Linked DNA regions of Oryzias latipes. The protein of the gene in region 2 binds, or shares a complex with, the protein of the main gene of each other region. Links are inferred from orthologs where the notes say so. Each region holds a gene or a part of one and is shown on either strand. Other genes may lie near its edges.

Region 1 (11,910 bases), on a different chromosome or scaffold from region 2:
GTATGTCCATAATACTAACCTGTATAGTTATTGTACATCCTATAGAACTTTATTCTGTACTTACTGCTTATTGCACTTCTGGTTAGATGCCAACTGCATTTCGTTGCCTTGTACCTACATGTGCAGTGACAATAAAGTTGAATCTAATCTAATCTAATCTAACCGTTGCTTCCATGGTGGGTATTGTTTTCTTCCATGGTTGCTCTTATAGCCAAGCATCTCAAGGATCACTGCTGCTGAAGTGTAAACCATTTCATTGGTTTCTGTGATGGTTGTGGTAGGAATTGCCCTCAATGCTTCATTCACAGTTTCCAGTAGACTTTCAGGCGGTACATCACTTAACCGTTGTAGCTGGTGTCGGGGCTGCCTAGTGTTCATTGTAGACATGATCTTGTCTTTCAGGTCAGTTGCTGCCTCGCTCAGTGTAATTGTGGTTGTTGGGGCTGTGTACCCAATCTCAGGGTGGGAGTGTGGTATAACCTCCTCTCTGACCTGTTGTTCTGGCTCTCCCATGGCATTGTATTGTATTGCTTCAATCTCAAGTTGTGATAGGAGTTGCTGTTTGTGGATGTTAGAGCACTGGGCTACCAGTTGTTTGGCAGTTAGCCCTGATTGTGGGTTTCGAAGCATCCATTCATTCCACATTCTCTGCATGTAACCCCTCTGGGTGGGATTACTTGAGTAGTAGCATTCTAACAGAACCTTGTTCTCACATCTAGTCCATTTCCGTCTTGTCCCAGTAGCCGACTTTCCATCAGGGTTCTCTGGTCCCTCAGCACCTGACGCAGACCTTGTTTGGCCGGGCGACGTCTGAGCCGGCATGACATGTGGTTCATTGTCTCTCATGTTGTGAGGTAGGCGGTAGCATTAAGGGTCTTGCCCAAGGACCCTCACTGGGTGATGTTAATTGCCCGTCATTGTTATGGTAATTGCCCCATTTCCATTGTCATGGTAATTGCCCCATTTTTCATTGCCATTAATTGTTCATTCCGCCCTGGGAATCGAACCCGGGTTTCCTGCATGACAGTCCTGCACCTTACCAACCGAGCTACCCAGCCGGAAATATATATATATATATATGTTCTGCAATATAGAAGAAATTTTAGACTAGTCTTTTGCTTAGAATATCCCAGATATTGTCTTATTTGTAATTTTCTAAGTCGTGCCTGGAATCAGTCAACACGGTTCATTTGTTGAATTGTTGAAGCAGCATTTTTTAAATGCGTTTTTTGAAGGTGATTTCTTCAATTGTTGTGTTCAGATTGTTTCAGGTCTTGACTCCTTGAATTAAAATACGGTTCGCCTGTTTTTGTTCTGAAATTTGGCAAATAGAAAATTACTAATCTTTTTAATCTATAAATACTCCTTTTTTCCTTAATCTTCTTTGAATATTTTGTTGCAGTAGTTTTTTTAATGTTTTATTTTTCCTTTCCTCCTGCTGGTCTGAAGATCGCCTGAGATGCACATTTGAACAGTTTCCCCAAAGACGACTGTCATCTTGTGAGGAAAAAGAGGTGCTAAGTACAAATAGAAGGGACCACATTAGCCCTTGTGCTATCATGTGGGGTCCAGATGACCCGATCTTTACATTGACGTGTTCTCCCTACCATGACAAAGGTGGATAAAGGTGGAAAGATTTCATGTAATCCATGGACACCAGTGAAGATCACAAATCATTGAAGAAAAAAGGTTCAGCGCACTGTCTAGTGGGTCTAGATGACCCAACTCCCAACGTCAACGTGCCTAGGATAGCACAAGGGTTACGGCTGAACGATATGAGGAAAACTTGCGATATTAATGATCAAAATTGCGATGACGCTATAACTTGCGATACATGAACAAATAGCAAAACAACCAAAAACATAATTTCCATTTCACTGCTACAGTTTAATTTAAATAAGAGTTAAAATAACTTAAATTATACTTCAAATGAAACTAGTCTGCATAGGAGGTGAACATCTAATATAAAAGGGCTTCATCTGATTGGTCAAATGCGTAAATGGATTTATTTGATTCACTAAATACTTCAAGGTGCCATAAGTTTGTTTAAGCACATTTCAAGTACCGGTATCCTCTTATTGTGATTTTCGCCATCTTTTGCGATAAGCGTATTGCACAGATAGATATCACCATAACGATAAATTTGCGACTTATTGAGCAGAACTAGACCACATAGATCCCACCAGCTTTGCTATCAATAAAATGTTCGTTTTGTACGGTTCCACCTGACTCAGGCTTTCACAGATAAAAGGGAAATCATTAAAATCCAGAAGGATGAATGTTTCATGAACTTTCTATATGAACCATTCATTTAACATCATAACCACATGTGGTTCAGCCGTGAATTCTGGACTCATTTAATCATCTTTTCTGATCATAATCAATAAGCACCTTATGTTATTATTACTTGAAGTGATTATGTATTTTGTCTTTTTTGGAATCATCTTTGCTATTATTTGGAATATGAACCCTCCTCGCCCCATTCCTTAAGCAATTTACCAAAGTCTATATTTATCCTATTAAATGAGTCATGTAGAATATGTATGGAAGAAAATTATTATATTTATGATGTCATTTACACATGCTTGTATACTTAAAACTATGCATTTCTATTATTTTCCTCTGTAATTTTTATATTACTATTAGTTCATGACTTGTCTTAAGTTAGTTTTATCTATATCTATCATTTTGTGTGTTTTCTTAAGTTTTTGTTTCCTTGAAATGAACCAATTCCCATTTTAAAAACAAATATTCCAATATTTCAGGACTTTACTCTGAAGTCAAAAACTATGACGGCCTGTTTATTTCACATAAACATGTATGTTCTCAGCCCAAATATACTTTCGACTCACAATAGCTAATATAAAGTACTGGCATCCAAGGATCCAGCGTCCATAAAACATAAAGGTTTAGGTGTTTACAGTTTAGATTTGAACCCTTTTAGGAAGTTTTTAGTTGTTTCTTTCCGAAAACACAAACTTATCAAGGAAATGAATCAGAATCATGTTGTGACTGTCTGAAAATACAAACCTGTTGTTTTCTTTTCTTTTTATAAAATGTTCAAGAATTTAATTCCTTCAAACTTTATTAATCAAAACGATTCTAAATGTATTTTAAGATGCTGGCAACCAACCTTACCCACAATGCAGCAAGGAATGACTTTAGAAATAAACCGGTAGTTTCAAACGCATTTATTTCAGTGAATTTAGCAAAAATATTTACACAACAGTGTACATATGTACGAGTCCTTAAGCAGAAGAGCTTTTTGTCTCTGCACAAACGGACCGGAGGAAGTCGCTCGCTCGCTCGCGCCGCCCGTCAAGCCGGTCGTCTCTAGTCCAGCGTGCCTGCAGAGAAAAAAATGATACAGTTACCGGATGCACAAACATGTCAATGAAATGTTCCTGTGCACACGCTGTCAGTAACATGCATGTGCAGAAAGAACGTGGGTTTTTTTACCTTCAAGAAATGCAAACTCGTCTACGGCCTCTATTGCGTTGTCTGCAGGGACAACAAAACAACAACAAACGAATGAAACTCAGGAGGAGAAACCACTGAAGTTTGTCAAATGAAACACAAAAAAGAAACTAAATATGTTTGAATTTTAATGAATTTAATGTTCATTTGTTTATTCTACTGTCCCACTCCGATCATCTGTTGATCCATTTTCAAAACCGTCTTTCAATTATAATGATGCCGTTTTTTGTTTGTTTGTTGTTTCGTGGACATATTTTCTGTAGAGTGGCAGGAGTTCAGTAGAAATTCACCTGCGAGTTGTGGGCGGGGCCTTGGGCCATAGCAACCCATTCCCTAACCGTGTCTGAGAGTTCTCTGTTTACATACTCTCTTACATACAGCCCCTCAACCTAGCATGAGCGGTGCAACAGAAATGGCGAGCGATATTGGAGCCATCCAGAGTTTGGAGCCAGATGTGTTCTGTAGATGTTTGTTACTGACAGTGAAGAAGCGCCGCTCAGTCTTACGCCGCTCTTGTTAGCATGTTCTTTATGTCATGGTTATCTGAACAACTGTTCATATGTTTCACTAATTTGAATAGATTCCTCCTATTTGTCATCAAACTAAATACTTTTACAGTAGTGAAGTTGTAAATATTCAGTCTATACCTGCTATTTATTTTAAGATGAAATGTCTGGTATTTTTTACCGTGTTTTGTTAAATTAATTTCTCCCCAAAGTGCGACTTCTACATAATTATTTCTTCTTTTTTATCATTATTATTTGACTTATACTCTGGTTTGATTTATAGGTTGTTTCTGAATTCCCGCCCTAACCCCTAACTACTAAAAAACTATAGAGCGGCTCTATGTAGTGCCCTGGATTTGAAAAGAAATTCGGAGACCAGGCTCACTGCTTCAAATATCGATTCCACAAAGTTAAAATCTAATTAATATGAGCGTTTTATGACGATTATTTATTATGTCTTCTGAAGATAAAAATGTTGATAGTTTAACAAAAAATACATTTTTTGGCAAAAATCGTTCCGACGCAATGCATTGTGGTCTATATTCGCTGATCTAGTGAGCATTGATGCACGCTGGTTTTTGGCAGAGACTTCTGGGAAATTTCTAGGACTCTGGATTTGGGAGATTGTAGATTCAGACAGCACTACAACATGGCGAATGCGTTATCTGGTGAGTAGGGAAGGAATTTGGACACAACCTACAATTCCAAACTCCAGTGCCCTAGAAACTTCCCAGAAGTCTCTGCGAAAATGATGCTCACTAGTTCGGCAAATATCGAGCACAATGCAGAGATGTGGAGCGTCCTCAGGCCTTACCCAGGTCCTTCCTCTGCAGAGTTTTCCTCTTCCCTTGCTGGGCGTAAACCAGAGCATCTTTGGCGATCATCTCAACGAACAACTCCTGGTAGGAAGAAGAGAGAAACATCACCATCATCATCATCATCATCATCATCACCTCTGACCATCATAGCATCCCATGGTGCCGTGCGGGGCCGAACCTTCTCCTCGCGGAGCGGGCTGCGGGTTCAGGGACTCACCGTGGCTTTGGCGATGATAAACACAGACTCTTGGCTGGCGAGGGACACGTCTGGGTCGGTTTTCATCAGGGCTTTGATGCGAGCCAGCGGGAGTTTGGACAGGCGGCTGCCGCCGGGTGCGGCGGGACCCGTCTGCTGCTGCTGGCCCCCGTCCCCCGCTTCCACTCCGCGGTTCTCCTCCTCACTCCCGCACCTGTCAGACTCCTGCTCCGTAGAGGAGACGAGCGCTGCCATTGAACGGGGAGTTATTTTCCCCCCCACCAAAAAGTGATCAAAAAACAGACGCGCGGATATTTATTAAGCTTTCTAACTTCATGACAAAGATAAAAGTAACAAACGAAGGCGAACAGCAGCGCGCCAGCATGTGCTTCCGGTCTAGTAGAGGCACTGCATCCCTATTGGTCAGTTTCCTTTGGTCCCGCCAACGCTTTCAAGTCAATGATTGGACAGATTGGACAACAAAGCCGTATGATTGGTCAAACGTGACTGCCACTCAAACAATGTTACCGCCCAACTACCGACAACTCAGTGGCTCAGTCAAATGTTTATCAGCTGTAAGACTCTTTCAAATAAATTTGGTGAATATAATTTAATCTTTTCATTAAGATTAGTAGATAAAAGAAAAAAGTGGGTTAAAAATAAATTAACAAAACACCAATAAACAAAATGTCCACAAGGTGGCAGCAAAGTGAAGCTAAATATAAAGCTGTTAAAAGCAACAATCTAAACAAAGAGAAATTTAAAAATTACTCCCGAAACTACCTGACAAAAACGGTTTGAAAATATCTGGTACTCTTTTCTTTTGATTATTATGTATTTTATTTTTTCATTTAATCTGTTTTTATTTAAAGTTTCCTTACTGTACATTGCCCCTAATTTTGCATACCCAATAAAAAAGTTAAAATGTTGCAAAGAAAACGCAAATTAAGTTTTATGAAAACTGTAAATATTTTTCAATTATGTTGTCAGAAGACATTTCTTTAACTTTTTTTTGGTCATTTTATTGAGCATCTATATTTAAACATGTGTTTTTTACTCAAGAAAAGAAAAAAGACTTTATCAGAACTGCTGTGCTGTTGCCTCTAAACTCTTTACCTTTTTTTAAGAGGAAAGTGTTTTGCAATGAAACAGACTGTATTTAGCCATTTTAATTTCAATTGTATAAACATAAAAATGTTGGTTTTCTGTTGCTCAGACACACAAAATACAATTCTGCAGCCTCTTATTTCCTTTAGAATTATTGTGTATAGAATAATGCTTAGGAAATGACAGATAATATGTTCAAATGCCAATATTAGAAACAAGAAACTTTGCAGTTGTTTTTTTTAACTTTGCACTCCGAAGAGCTCCGCCCTGCAGGCTGTTAACGACACTGCATTTGATTGCTATACATGGGGGCTGCAGGTAGATATAACTTCTCCTCAACTTTGGGGTCTAATTTAAAAATATGTTTAAAAATATATATTCGCTTGATTTATTCCTTTTTAATTTTTTTTGTAAAGAAAATAAATGACGAGGACAGAAACCCCTTTTCTCATTTTTCCCATTTTTTAAATTTAAAACCAAAAAAGAAATGTATATAATTTCTTTAAATGATGTAATGTTTTTTTCACATGTTTTTCTTTTGCTGCGGATGTTTTTGTGTTCATGTATTTGACTTTAAAAAAAAAAGAATAGATCCGGTGCTGCCTCATTCTGAGGTCATCTGATTTTATTTCACAGTAAGAAACAGACTTTAGTGCATAAATGTGATCGACTGCGGTTCAGGCATTGAAATGATCATTTCAGCGTTTTCCATGAGGGACAGTTCGTTCCGGAGAACATGATGTGCAGTTCCCTAATACACTGCATTAATAGGATTGTGAGGAGCGATTGAGCCTCTGAAGCTCCTTCACGTTTGGTCACAGTCAGGTATTAGAGCGGCCGCGACGGAGATGAAGGATCCACAAAATCCAGGTAACTTTAAAGCAATTTTATCTACTTTTTTAATTTATTTTTTTAACAGTGAAAAGTGGTTGGATGTGATTCATTACTTGCTTAGAAATTGTTTAAAGGTTGCATTATTTTTCTTATTTGTCATATTTAATAAAAAGCAAAAGTAATTGTAAGAACATCAAATGCTTTTAACTTGCATTTCAACATTAGTTACAAGTTTTTCTTCGATGCTATACAGTCGATGACAACTGCAAATTAGATTAATTTTATAGAAATAACGCTCAGATTTATAAATGGACAGTTTTCAATTCATGCATTTACTTATTCGGTGGATGAGTTTATTGTAAAGTTGAAACAAGTGACATTATTTTATCTGAGTTAAACTTATAGTGAAAACATTTTGTCTATTAAAACTCTCATCCATCCAGGATGGTTCTGAAGTAGAAAAAGACTTCAAAAGGTCGTCTGATTTAAGTTTTTTATCTTCACAGAGAGTCCAGAACGTTTTATTCTTTATTGTGAAATGCAAATATTGAAACATCAGTTATTGCTTTTATTTATTTCCAGGTTTATGGACAAAATGACAGCAGTGCTATACTCATATGCTACTGTATTTATGACTTAAGGGGTTTCTGACTGTGACCTTATTTCAGGTTTTCTCAAGTAATCGTCTGAATGGCTTTCTCCAAACAGAAGTGGCTCACTAATACTCAGACTAAAAGAAGCAAGTAATCCAAGCCATTCCAGGACTTTAGCCAGCCCTGTGCTAAATTTAACCCACATTGCCCTGGAGGTGGCACGCTACCATCACAGTACAGACAGCAGACTTAGTTTGAAACCTGCAAAAAAGCGCTGCTCTGTTATTCTGAAGGTTTTCTGGCACACGAGCAGAGCAGCTTTGACCCTGCAGCCACGGCTCTTTATTTAATCCTGCTGCAATCAGCCGTTTCCTGGAAAACGGCAGGAAACTCGCCGTAAAGTTGGCAAAAAGAGAGAAACTATTGTGCAGGGAGAGAAGAACGAAGGCCCGGAAAGACATAGATCTCAGTCCAAGAATCAGATCTGGAAATAAGGAGCAGAGAAGTTTCCAGCTAATGTTCTGACCCACAAGTCCAGAATGAAGGGATTTTAAATCTTCAAAAAATGGCTTTGGGCTGCTGTGTGGTGTCAGACATTTGACAATTGGGAACAATAAAATGCAGACAGGAATCTCAGGGTGTTTTCTTATTTAACCCCGTAAATCCTCTGGATTAAAGAACGGGGGGGGGGTTAAGATGTTTTTGATAAAATTGCAATCTAATTATTTGTGATATTAATAGTACCAATTAGGATTTGTTAGGTCATTATTCAGTTTTTGCTCACAACAATATTAGTTTGTTAAGGACAAAATCCCCTAATTTACCCACTGTCTCATATTTGATCCACCGTGCTGTGACTTAACTATCAAAAATGAATTATCAACAAATGCAGCTTTCTTTGAATACACCAAGTAGTAATGTAAAACAAATGAATAACAATACATCAGTCATTGTCACCATAAAGTTTTGAAAATAAAACATTTCCCGCAAAAACTCTTTTTGAGATTTCACCTACGACTGTAGAAAAGGACTGGACTGAGCGAGTGTGATATCGCCCATAGAAAGTCACTGCCTTACTTCCGGCTCCAGCCAAACGAAGCCAAATCAGACGCCATTTGTCTGCGGTGCGGACGTCGCCATGCTGGAGCCGGACGACGGTGGTGATTGGTCCAAGTCGGTCTGAGTCGACGTTTCTATGGCAACCGCTGTCTCCAATCAGGAGTGAGAATGTTTGAAGTCCACCACCCTTCCACTGAAGGCGGGCTTGTGAGAATCTCTCAATCAAACGTTCAAGGTGGGGGCCAGCGGGCACCTGAGGCATCTGATTGGTCAGTTCATAACTTGAATATTTGAGATAAGACTAATAGAATTGAATTGAACGACTGAGTAACAGCTGTTTAGTTCTTTGCAGAAGTCTAAGGGATTTTGGCTCCTGGGAGCCAGTAGGTACTTCCTGTTTGGAACGCCAGAAGGGAGGAGTCACTCAGTCCAGTTCTCATATACAGTCAATTGATTTCATTCAATTCAATTTTATTTGTATAGCCAAAAATCACAACAACAGTCGTCTCGATGGGATTCATTCATGAAAGTATTCATTTTGAAATGAACAGAAAAAGCCCTTCTACTGCCCCGAGTGGACTGACTTTGAGTTACAGGGCAGAAAACATTGGACTCAGACAATTTCCAAATTCCCTCCCTACTACCTAACTACTAGAAAAAACATATAGTGCGGGACTTTCTAGTTAACTGGATTCTAAAAGCAATTCGGACACCACTGCTTTTTTTTTAATGGCAAATATGACGTCATCGATTTCTAGAAGTAAAACCTAATAAACATGAACATTTCATGAATCCACTAATGACGAAAACTAGGAGAGTTTCAGAAAAATAAAGTAAAACTCAACTTTTTCACATAAAAAATAATTTAAATTCAATGTATTGTGGTTTATTTTTGCCAATCTAGTGAGGATCGGTGGCCATTTATTGGTGCACACTGGTTTTTTCGCAGAGACTTCTGGGAAAATTCCAGGGCACTCCATTTTGGAACCTTAGATCCCGACAGCAGTACAAAATGGTAGCGAGCAGTGACGGAATTCTAAAGCAACCCAAGTTATGAACAAGTAAATTTTGAAGGAAAGTTTGGATCTTTAATTGGATATTTGGATCCTCCGGCAGCCCCGTGACCCCGAGAGGAACAAAACGGATCAGAGGATGAATGAATATAGGGTTCATTTCAGTCCTCTTTATTATTTTTAATTACAGTTTTTCGAAAGTTTATTAAGAAGTAATACAAAGCAGAAATCTTGTCTTGAATGAGAGTTTTTTGGATATAATTCTACTTTATTTGCAGTTATTAACAAACGCTGTTTTTTTATTTTATTCCTGCAGCTCCTCAGCTGTTTGGTCTGAATTCTCGCCCTCTCTTGTTTTAAAGCTGTCAACGCGCGGTTATGGCCAAAGCACAAAATGTGGAAAAAATCCAAGGATCAGACGGCGAAGGCGGACAAACCTGCCCTGCTTTCTCCCTCTTCTGCCGCCGGTGCCGTCCCACAGCTGACGGAGGCCGAGAGACTGAAGCAGACCCCCCTGGAAAGGGTGATTTACGACATGGCCCACAACGACAGGGTCGTCAACGAGCTGATTCTGGGGCGAAGAGTCAGTTTCTATGAGCTGCGGGGGGAGATCGGTCAGGGTAACTTCTCTACTGTAAAGCTGGGCATCCACGCCTTAACAAAAGGTAAAGGTACCCCTGGTCATTGGTTGCATCCTTATCCTTTTTGTTCTGACTGGCATTCTCATTCTTGCAATTTGTCTTCTGCAGCAGCAATTCTCAGCATCTAACATAAAGAAATGTACCATCTTTCATTTGAAAATGAACGTTTCCATGGAAACGGTGTCTGTGTGTTCTTCACCAATAAGCTTCTGCCCCCGCTCGACCCCTTTCACCTCAGGAGTCTGTTTTAAGTCCGTCACTGACTTTAATCCTCCGTCTTTTTATAGAAAGAGTCGCCGTTAAAATCGTGGACAAGACGCGTCTGGATAAGAAAAGCCAGCCTTTGACCTCCTCCGAGATCAGCTGCATGGAGAAGCTGAGCCATCCCAACATAGTGCGCCTCTACGAGGTGATCGACACCAGCAGGAAGCTGTACCTGGTCATGGAGTACGGCAGCGGCGGAGACCTGTTCTCCAGGATAACCACCAGAGGGAAACTCAACGACCTGGAGGCCAAACTGGTCTTTGCGCAGATCATCTCTGCCATCAAACACATGGTGAGCTTCAGTCACTCTGACTGTAAAGGCCGTGACACACAGCTAGCCACTACGTACATTTTGCGCATTTTTGTTTCCACGTGTGAAATTTTTCGTCTTTCGTGATCCGTAAATGTGTGGCTGTCCACGATTGATCCTTGTATGTCTAATGGACTTTTCAGGCATGTACCACCGATGTATGACTTATTTTAGGCCACGGTCCGGGTGAATACTCGATTCTGATTGGCTGCTGGGTGTGCATTAAAAAGAGATAATCCACAGTGATAACCGCACGCCTCAAAAAGTAGTTCCGGTCACAAAGCTGAAATGTTCTGTATCACTGCGCCGGCTTCTTTAGAACAACCTTTACCGTCATCATCTGGACAAAAACAAGCGGTAAGAGGTTTTTTTCTCTCTGAACTGATGCTTTATTGACACATCGTGATCATCAGCATAGAAATTGATTTCCTTTGCCGCTGAAGTCGAGGTCGGAGCAGTTCCACCGCACTACGTAACGAATAGTCCACTTTTTGTGAAAAAAACAAACCGAAAAAATAACAAGAACAAAGTCCTAGAAACTGGCTGAATATTTATTTCTTTTGTAAGTGACCAAGGTATACGTGGGTTATTGGCCTTCGAAGTATATATAATTATATACGGTATGTATACATCTATGCTGAATAAAGCATCAGATCAGAGAGAAAGTTCTCCTCTTACCGCTTGTTTTTGTCCAGATGATGAAGATAAAGTTTGTTTTAAAGAAGCTGGCGCAGTGATATTGAACTTTTAAGCTATGCTGGAACTAATTTTTTTTAGGCGTGCGGTTATCACTGTGCGTTATCCCCTTTAATGCACACCCAGCAGCCAATCAGAATCGAGTATTTACACAGACTATGGTATGACAGAAATCAGTGCACGACGTGGAAGCCTGAACCGTCTGACGCATTTGTTTTCAAAATTTTTCTTTCTTACTGCGCCTTTGAGCCAAGATTTCACCCTCCACACAGGTTCAAACACACAAAAATTTGCACGGCAAAAGTTTCATTTTGAGCATATTAAACAAATTCCTCCTAAAAATGATGACATCACAGCGGAGAGGAACCGTCAACAAAGGAACGGGGCCAAAGTCTC
Region 2 (6,880 bases):
ATTTAGACAGCTATACATGTTAGGTACCAACATGTAAATTTTCTAAAAATTCAAATCAAACAATACCATAAAAATACAAACTAACCTAAAGAGCAAACGCAGCCATGAGAAGTATGCCTGACATGTTCCTTCAAAATTGCCCAAAATAAAAGCAAAATGATGAAACAAAAGATAAGAAATGTAGGCAAGTTGACTTATCAAAAAATTAAGAAAAAAAAATTTAGGCAATTAATTAAACAAAGACTACTTTTTTGATCAAAAATGTTTTGGCTTTGAGGGCGGGGTGGATTAGATTTAGAGTACTTGGACACAAACATTTCCCCGAACATGAGGCGAATATTATTCAGAAAAAAACTATTCTTTTGTTCAAATTAAGTGCAAATGTGTTTTTCTTTAAAGAAAACTACACAAAAAAACAAAGAAAACAGCGCCAAAGCAGCTACATCATTCTGACCTACTTTGCCAGCTTAACTATTTAGGTTACTATGCTAACAGCTAACATCTACAGACGATCGATGATCCACTCATACAAGTTCAGAAAGCTTTTGCACCCAAATTATTTCTTTAAAGTAATAAGATTCGTCAAATTAACTACTGATAAAGCCTCTAATTTGATCAAAAGCTTCTTTCTTTTGAGCTTCAGAGCGTTTATTTGTATGCTAAAAACAAAGCAAATTCCAATTTTCGACTCTAACGTATTTTTGGGAATTTTGATGACGAATGTAACCAATATTTTTTAACCACAGAACAATAGTTATGTCTATGAATAATAAACCTACCTTATGAGTAATTTTTATTTCCTGTAAATATCAAAAAGGCTCCACCATTACAATGAGGAGACCTGCTAGAAGAGGTTCACCGGAAATGATTAACCTAGCAGACCGGAAGTCAACAGATCTTACAGTTTACATTTAAAAAAATGAAAAGCGAGGAACATGAACATTCAATTTGGATTTATTTAATTGGAGTTCGTTCCAAATGACTTCTGTAGCATATTCTCCTAATTGAAGACACACAACATTAGCCATAAACGCCGCTCGAAATGCTATAAAACAATGCAAATAATTTCAAAATAAAACCATTTCTAATTCTTCCAATTCTTCTTCGTTCTAATTTTCCCAATAAAGCCGTTTCCCTGTAATAAAATGTCATCTTGTAATGGAAGGGCAGCTGTTTATCTGTCAAGTAAAATAAATAAATTAAAATATAATGTTAAAATAACCTGAGAAACTATTTAAGTTGTTACATATGTGAATCTCTAGAAAGTACTAGTAGTACCGATAGTAGTAAGGTAATGTTGCTATTGCAATAGTTCCTTTCTTTTTCTGTGCAAAAGGTTAATCATCTTTGTTTTTTTGCATAAAAATTTTGAAAATAAAAGTTAGCCCTTTTTTTTAAACTTGATTGTTAGCTAAACTGATCCTGAAAAGTAAAACAAATACAGAGTAGATTGCAAGCGTATTTAAAATTGGGCAATGTCAAAGTCTCAGAGAAAACATTTCCTGCAGGATAGCGATGAAACTTTAATTTCTTGTCGTATTTTTACACTGCTGATGTCAATAGAAATGTCAAACTATATTTTCCCTGTAAAGACTTTGCGCAAAATATATATATATTTTTAAATTAGTTTAAAATTTTAAGACAAACTTTTGTTTGGTTTTGCATTTTTAAGGCAGTTTGCACGAAGTATTCCTGACTATAATCTCTTCACATAAAGATCAGAATATTCACCAAAAGTAATAAAACTTTATTATTCATGACAGAACAAAGAAAAAAACATTAAAATCTTTTGATTACAAATCATCTAAAAGTATCTACAGAGTTATGCACACAACAGTAAGCCAGGTAAACTCTTCTTTTTCTTTAGAGTCCTTGGAGTTTACTGTAAAGACAAAGGAAATGTTTAGTGTAAACACTATAACAGTCAAAGAAAGCTTATGTAAATAGAAAAATATGACTGTGTCTCACCTGTCCTCTACAGTTTTGTTGGACGGGTAATACACCTTGAATGTGAAGCCGCTTTTAGGGAATGAGCCCTGCAGAAATAAACATTTGTTAGACATTTCAAATAACTAAAGGGTAATATAAGTACCTAGAAAAATGAGGAAAAATAAAACAAAAGACTATTGAGGATTCTTCAGTCTCATACCGGGTTGACACTGAGGCAGTCAGTGTTGGTGATGGTGAAGGGGTCGTACTTGTCTGCAAAGACAACGACATCAGGCACCGGGTAGACGCGCAGGGAGTAGTCATAGGCCCAGAACACAGGACTGACGTACAAAGGCAGCGGAGTCAAATGACCCTGAGACAGGATCGTCTTAACAAACTGTGAGAAAGAAAAGAGGAAGACATCATCGCCTGAAGCAACATCATAAATGTACAACATATATATTTAGATAATTAAAAAAAATAAACTGATAGCCGAATGTACCAGAGGGACAAAAGCTTACAGAGATGACATGAAACGTACATGGTTTGGGATGTCAAGGTTACTGTTGGGTAACCTGATGCAATTCCTGCACATCTTGTTAACAAGATCCTCTCTGATCACTAGGATCTCCTGGCTGCAGTACTGGATCCTGGTCAGAACAAAAGTCCGTTTTTATCATAGTTTAACATGACAAACTCATTTTATGTAGACAGTTAACATCTATGAGTGGAACTGTATGTTTTACCTGCATGGGTTGGTGGTAAAAACTGAGAATGGCACTCTCTCACTGAACTCCTCTGTGATGTTTTGTACCAGGGGGGGCCTAAAATATATTTACAAGAGATGTTTGTCCAGAACTCGGATCAAAATGTCAGCTTCCTCAGTTCTAAAAAATGATTCTGAAGATTCACCTCGGCAGGATGTTTGCTGGACCGGGGTCCTCAGGACCCGGAACGAACACGAAGCGACTACTGCAGGGTTTAGATGAGTCGGCGTTTAAACTGGAACGCAGAGTATGACTCAGAGAAAAGGGTCAAATCCTACCTGCTGTGAATGCTGGGATATGTACAGATCATGTCAGCCAGGGCTTTCAGGGATTCTAATAGAAAAACAAAAGACAAATATTATTGATTGACGTCTGCACAAATTTTTACAATGTTCATTCATTCAAAATGTTCGTTTTCATTTATTTTATCCATGTTTAGAACCAATCCCCCCTTTGTGGTGCATCTATTTTATTTTTGTATTTTAACAAATTCACTCTTTAATATTTAGATGCCTATGGTAATATTTGACCTTACTGTTTTGAAAGGTCATAAGTGAAAATTATGAATAAGCTTTACTGATACACTTATTTGATTATATTAGTTTAAGATTGAAAGTGAGCTTTTTTTTCTATTAATAGCTCATATTCACAGAACTGCTTTTGTTTTTCAGTTCCTTAATTCCCCTTTCTTCAAGCAAAATTTTACAGTTTAGTGTTCCTTTGCACTGCAAAAATCCACCTTTGAAATAATAAAATATATATGTTTATTGTAACATGCAATTACGGCATAACTATTCAAACCGACAAAACTTGGTTGACTTGCAATGGCATCAAAATACATGTTCAATCGTTTTTCATCTTTAGAATCGAACTTTTATTAATCCCGTTTAAGGGAAATGTAAGAGACAACATAGCTGTAAAAAGAATAAATAAATAAATAAAAACAGCAGATTAGTACCGGTAACCATAAAAAATAAATTACACAATCAAAAATAAGTCCTTAGTTTCACATCTGGCCCCTATGAAGCATAAAAATATGGTACTACAAGTATGTTTACGAGCAGCCAGCATCACTAAATTGTTAAAGCACTAAATGCGGGACAGAAACAAGGCAAAGGAAAATAACAGAACCCCATTTAAAAGGGAGAAAAAGCTCTCATTCTTTACCAAGCATGCAGCCAAAAGAGGCTCACCTTTCAGCGATCTATTCTGTGTTTTTCCATATGGGGCCGAAGAGAAGTTTCCACACAAAATGAAGCAGGTAGGAGGCATTGCAGCATATCCTAAACAGAGAAAAACAATAACAACGTGAAGCCCATGAAGAATAGAATATTGTTCTGTGAAATTCTGCTTTACCTGAAAACATGATGTTGAGCTTTTCCATCACTTCTACGCTGTCCAGCCAGACGTCAGAGACGATCACAAACATGGCATCTTCGTTCTCTTCCTCCAGCTGCTTGAGCTTGGAGGAAGCCTTGACGGACGTGGACGATGGACCGCCAAAGAAGTTTATGTTGCCGTAGTACGACCTGGAGTTTATGCAGACAGTATATTATGGTATGGGAGAAACAAATCCCCCTGCACCAACTGTGCTTTCATAAAAACCATCCTTTAAATTATTTCTAACATTTAGAACTGGATTCTTTCTAATTTCAAACTATTTTGAAAAAGCAATAAAAATGTAAATGTAGCTCCTCTTAACGGTCTGCTTGACTTGTCTTGATTGTGCTTCTATAGTTTCCTTCATTACCTGCACATTTATTAAAAGTTGCTGGCCGCCCTAACAGCAGTCGTCCCTCACTTAACTACAGGTCACTTTTAATGCTTTTGTCTTTGTATTGATTTTTTTTTTGCGGTGCATTGCTTTCTATGTCCTGATTGGCTGTAGAACATCATCAAATCTGATTTGATTGATTGATTAATTAATTAATTTCAATAAAAAAAAGACTGAATAAAGACACATAAAAAACATTTCAGATATAAAGAATAAATTGATTAGAAAATGTTTGTCTCTTTGTCTTTGTGCTGCGTCTCCTGTACAGAAAGTCTTCAGTTCGTCAGAGTTACATAAATCCTAATCAGATATTTGGGGTCATTCTATATAATATTGGACTTCATTTTCTATGAAGGTTTAAACTCAGAGTTTAAACAAGAAAGAAAAGCGTCAAAATGTTCATGTCTGTCTGAGAAAAGTGCACAAAAGTGTGTTGTGAGACATTTTATAGCCTTAAAATATTTAAATTGACTGGGTTTAGTTTAGTTTGTCTATCATTAGAAAGTAACTCCCGTGATAAACGTGGAATTACTGAACAGAAATTCGAGTCCGCAGGTTTACCTGGTCGCCGATGACGGCTCTGTTGGGGGGAAACCAAAGCCATTGACATGAAGAACAGAATCCTCGTACCACCCTGCAGAACAAACAGGAACCCTTTTATTTTAGCTCCACACCTTTCCAAAGCTGTGGAGTTAAACAGAATTAGTCTTACCTTCTGCCAAAACAAAGCAGGACTCTGTATAGAGGCCATTATGGAACTGGTAAAAAAAATAGTGCTCAGGAAAATGTTTCTTTGCAATTGTAATAAACTTTTTTTTTTAGTGGCAAACCCTAAAGTCTTTCAAAGGATATTGCCTTGGACAAATCCAGCTGTACGGTTCCACTTGGATCTTCGAGGTAAAATTTACCCTTTAAACATAAAAACAAATTGGGCCAAAAAAAAAAAAAAGGTTCATCTTAAATAAATCTCATCTTGTTAGCGATTGAAAAAATCAGTTCAAAAGTTTCTTATCTAACCTCTTTAAGTTGTGTGATCATCCCGAGTACGATCACCTCCCCAAGCTTAGATGTGCTCCCGAGCAACGCTTCAATTGTCTTGAGCTACACAAACAAGAAAAGAGGTACATTAGTAGCCACACAAATGGTTTCAACTCTTAAACAAAATAATACTTTGGTCATTTTTAGATTGGTATACGTTTCCTTTACCTGAAATTTATTTTGACCCTCTTCAACAGCAGCTCCAATTGCTGGTGGGGTGAAGAGCTCATGACGGTGTGTGCGCTTAAAAAACGAAAACAAATAAATGTGAGCATGAGCATACCTGCAGAACAGAACAGCGTAATCCAGTTATTGTGACGTACCTGCTGTAAGATTGTATAGCGCTCCCTGAAAAGTTCCGCTTTGTCTTTGGCAGAACCACACAGACTGGGAGCTGGATGACCGGTCATATTGATGCTGCAAGAAAAAGGAAATACAAGTGTAGCAAAACACAAAAATGTGGCAACACCAAAACACTCAAATCAGACTCCTGTAAATAGAAAGAAGAAGAAAAAAGAAAAGCTCACGGTAGAAATTTCTTTCTCTCCACGCTGTAAATGTATCTGGGCACGTCAAAGGCTCCAATGATGTTAAAAATATTGTCACTGCAAAAGAATTCAAATTAATATTATTTAATGACCACAAACTGTAGCAAACATTTTATTTAGTTTAATTTATCACAAAAACAAAGCACAGTTTTGCAGCAGTTCACATTACAGTGACACAGACAGAATATCTCGTAACAACAAGAACAATAAAGAAATAAATTTAAGAAAAACGTTTTATATTTTCTGTTCTAATTGATAAACGTTTCTTACATGGTTTCATCACATGACTGGGTGCAGTCCTGTACAGCACTTTCTACCACAGCCAGCTCGATCATATTCGAGGACACTGTTGGTAATAAAAAACAAACACATAAATCAGCTGAAGCTACTTGGAAGTGAAGAGTGTCAAGATGTTTCCAGAAGAGAAGACATTAAGTCTAGATGCCAAAACACAACTTCTAGGCATTGTCAGCTGGATAATCTTCAGCACTAAATGTGTGATGAAGATCTTCCAGATTGAACACATGATCCATTTTTCCTCATCGGTACACCAAAAATACACAGAGACTTGCAGAAAGTGACTGAAGTACACTTACACGGCTGCTTCTCCACCGAATCCAGCACCTTCTCAATGACATCCTCAAGTTCAGAGACATTGACTGATTCCAGGACTTCAGCAAGATACCGACTGGCTTCACTGGAGAGGAGAGAAAAACTAAAAATCCTATACAACAACACAACCTCATAAAAACACATAATAAACCTAAAGAAGAAAATGAACAAAAGTACAATGAGGTTCTGTAGTCGATACTACTATAAATAAT

The links.
Region 1: pole2 (region 2) and pole4 share a complex: the UniProt entries of both Homo sapiens proteins name them as parts of the DNA polymerase epsilon complex. The link is inferred for Oryzias latipes from reciprocal best matches to the Homo sapiens genes POLE2 and POLE4.

What each region holds. Positions count from the first base shown.
Region 1 is NC_019862.2:30,737,318-30,749,227, forward strand, and holds pole4 (DNA polymerase epsilon subunit 4), read right to left. Parts: upstream 5,425-11,910; 5' UTR 5,253-5,424; coding exon 5,019-5,252; intron 4,883-5,018; coding exon 4,798-4,882; intron 3,502-4,797; coding exon 3,460-3,501; intron 3,348-3,459; coding exon 3,334-3,347; 3' UTR 3,177-3,333; downstream 1-3,176. Other genes in the region: serine/threonine-protein kinase NIM1-like, read left to right, coding at 6,953-6,974, 9,966-10,268, 10,532-10,800. UniProt on the Homo sapiens protein: Accessory component of the DNA polymerase epsilon complex. Participates in DNA repair and in chromosomal DNA replication.
Region 2 is NC_019880.2:6,714,082-6,720,961, forward strand, and holds the end of pole2 (DNA polymerase epsilon subunit 2), read right to left. Parts: intron 6,754-6,880; coding exon 6,653-6,753; intron 6,403-6,652; coding exon 6,327-6,402; intron 6,114-6,326; coding exon 6,036-6,113; intron 5,926-6,035; coding exon 5,832-5,925; intron 5,752-5,831; coding exon 5,677-5,751; intron 5,572-5,676; coding exon 5,488-5,571; intron 5,380-5,487; coding exon 5,323-5,379; intron 5,232-5,322; coding exon 5,183-5,231; intron 5,105-5,182; coding exon 5,032-5,104; intron 4,226-5,031; coding exon 4,053-4,225; intron 3,980-4,052; coding exon 3,890-3,979; intron 3,030-3,889; coding exon 2,975-3,029; intron 2,902-2,974; coding exon 2,842-2,901; intron 2,754-2,841; coding exon 2,676-2,753; intron 2,580-2,675; coding exon 2,471-2,579; intron 2,327-2,470; coding exon 2,150-2,326; intron 2,037-2,149; coding exon 1,969-2,036; intron 1,883-1,968; coding exon 1,864-1,882; 3' UTR 1,727-1,863; downstream 1-1,726. UniProt on the Homo sapiens protein: Accessory component of the DNA polymerase epsilon complex. Participates in DNA repair and in chromosomal DNA replication.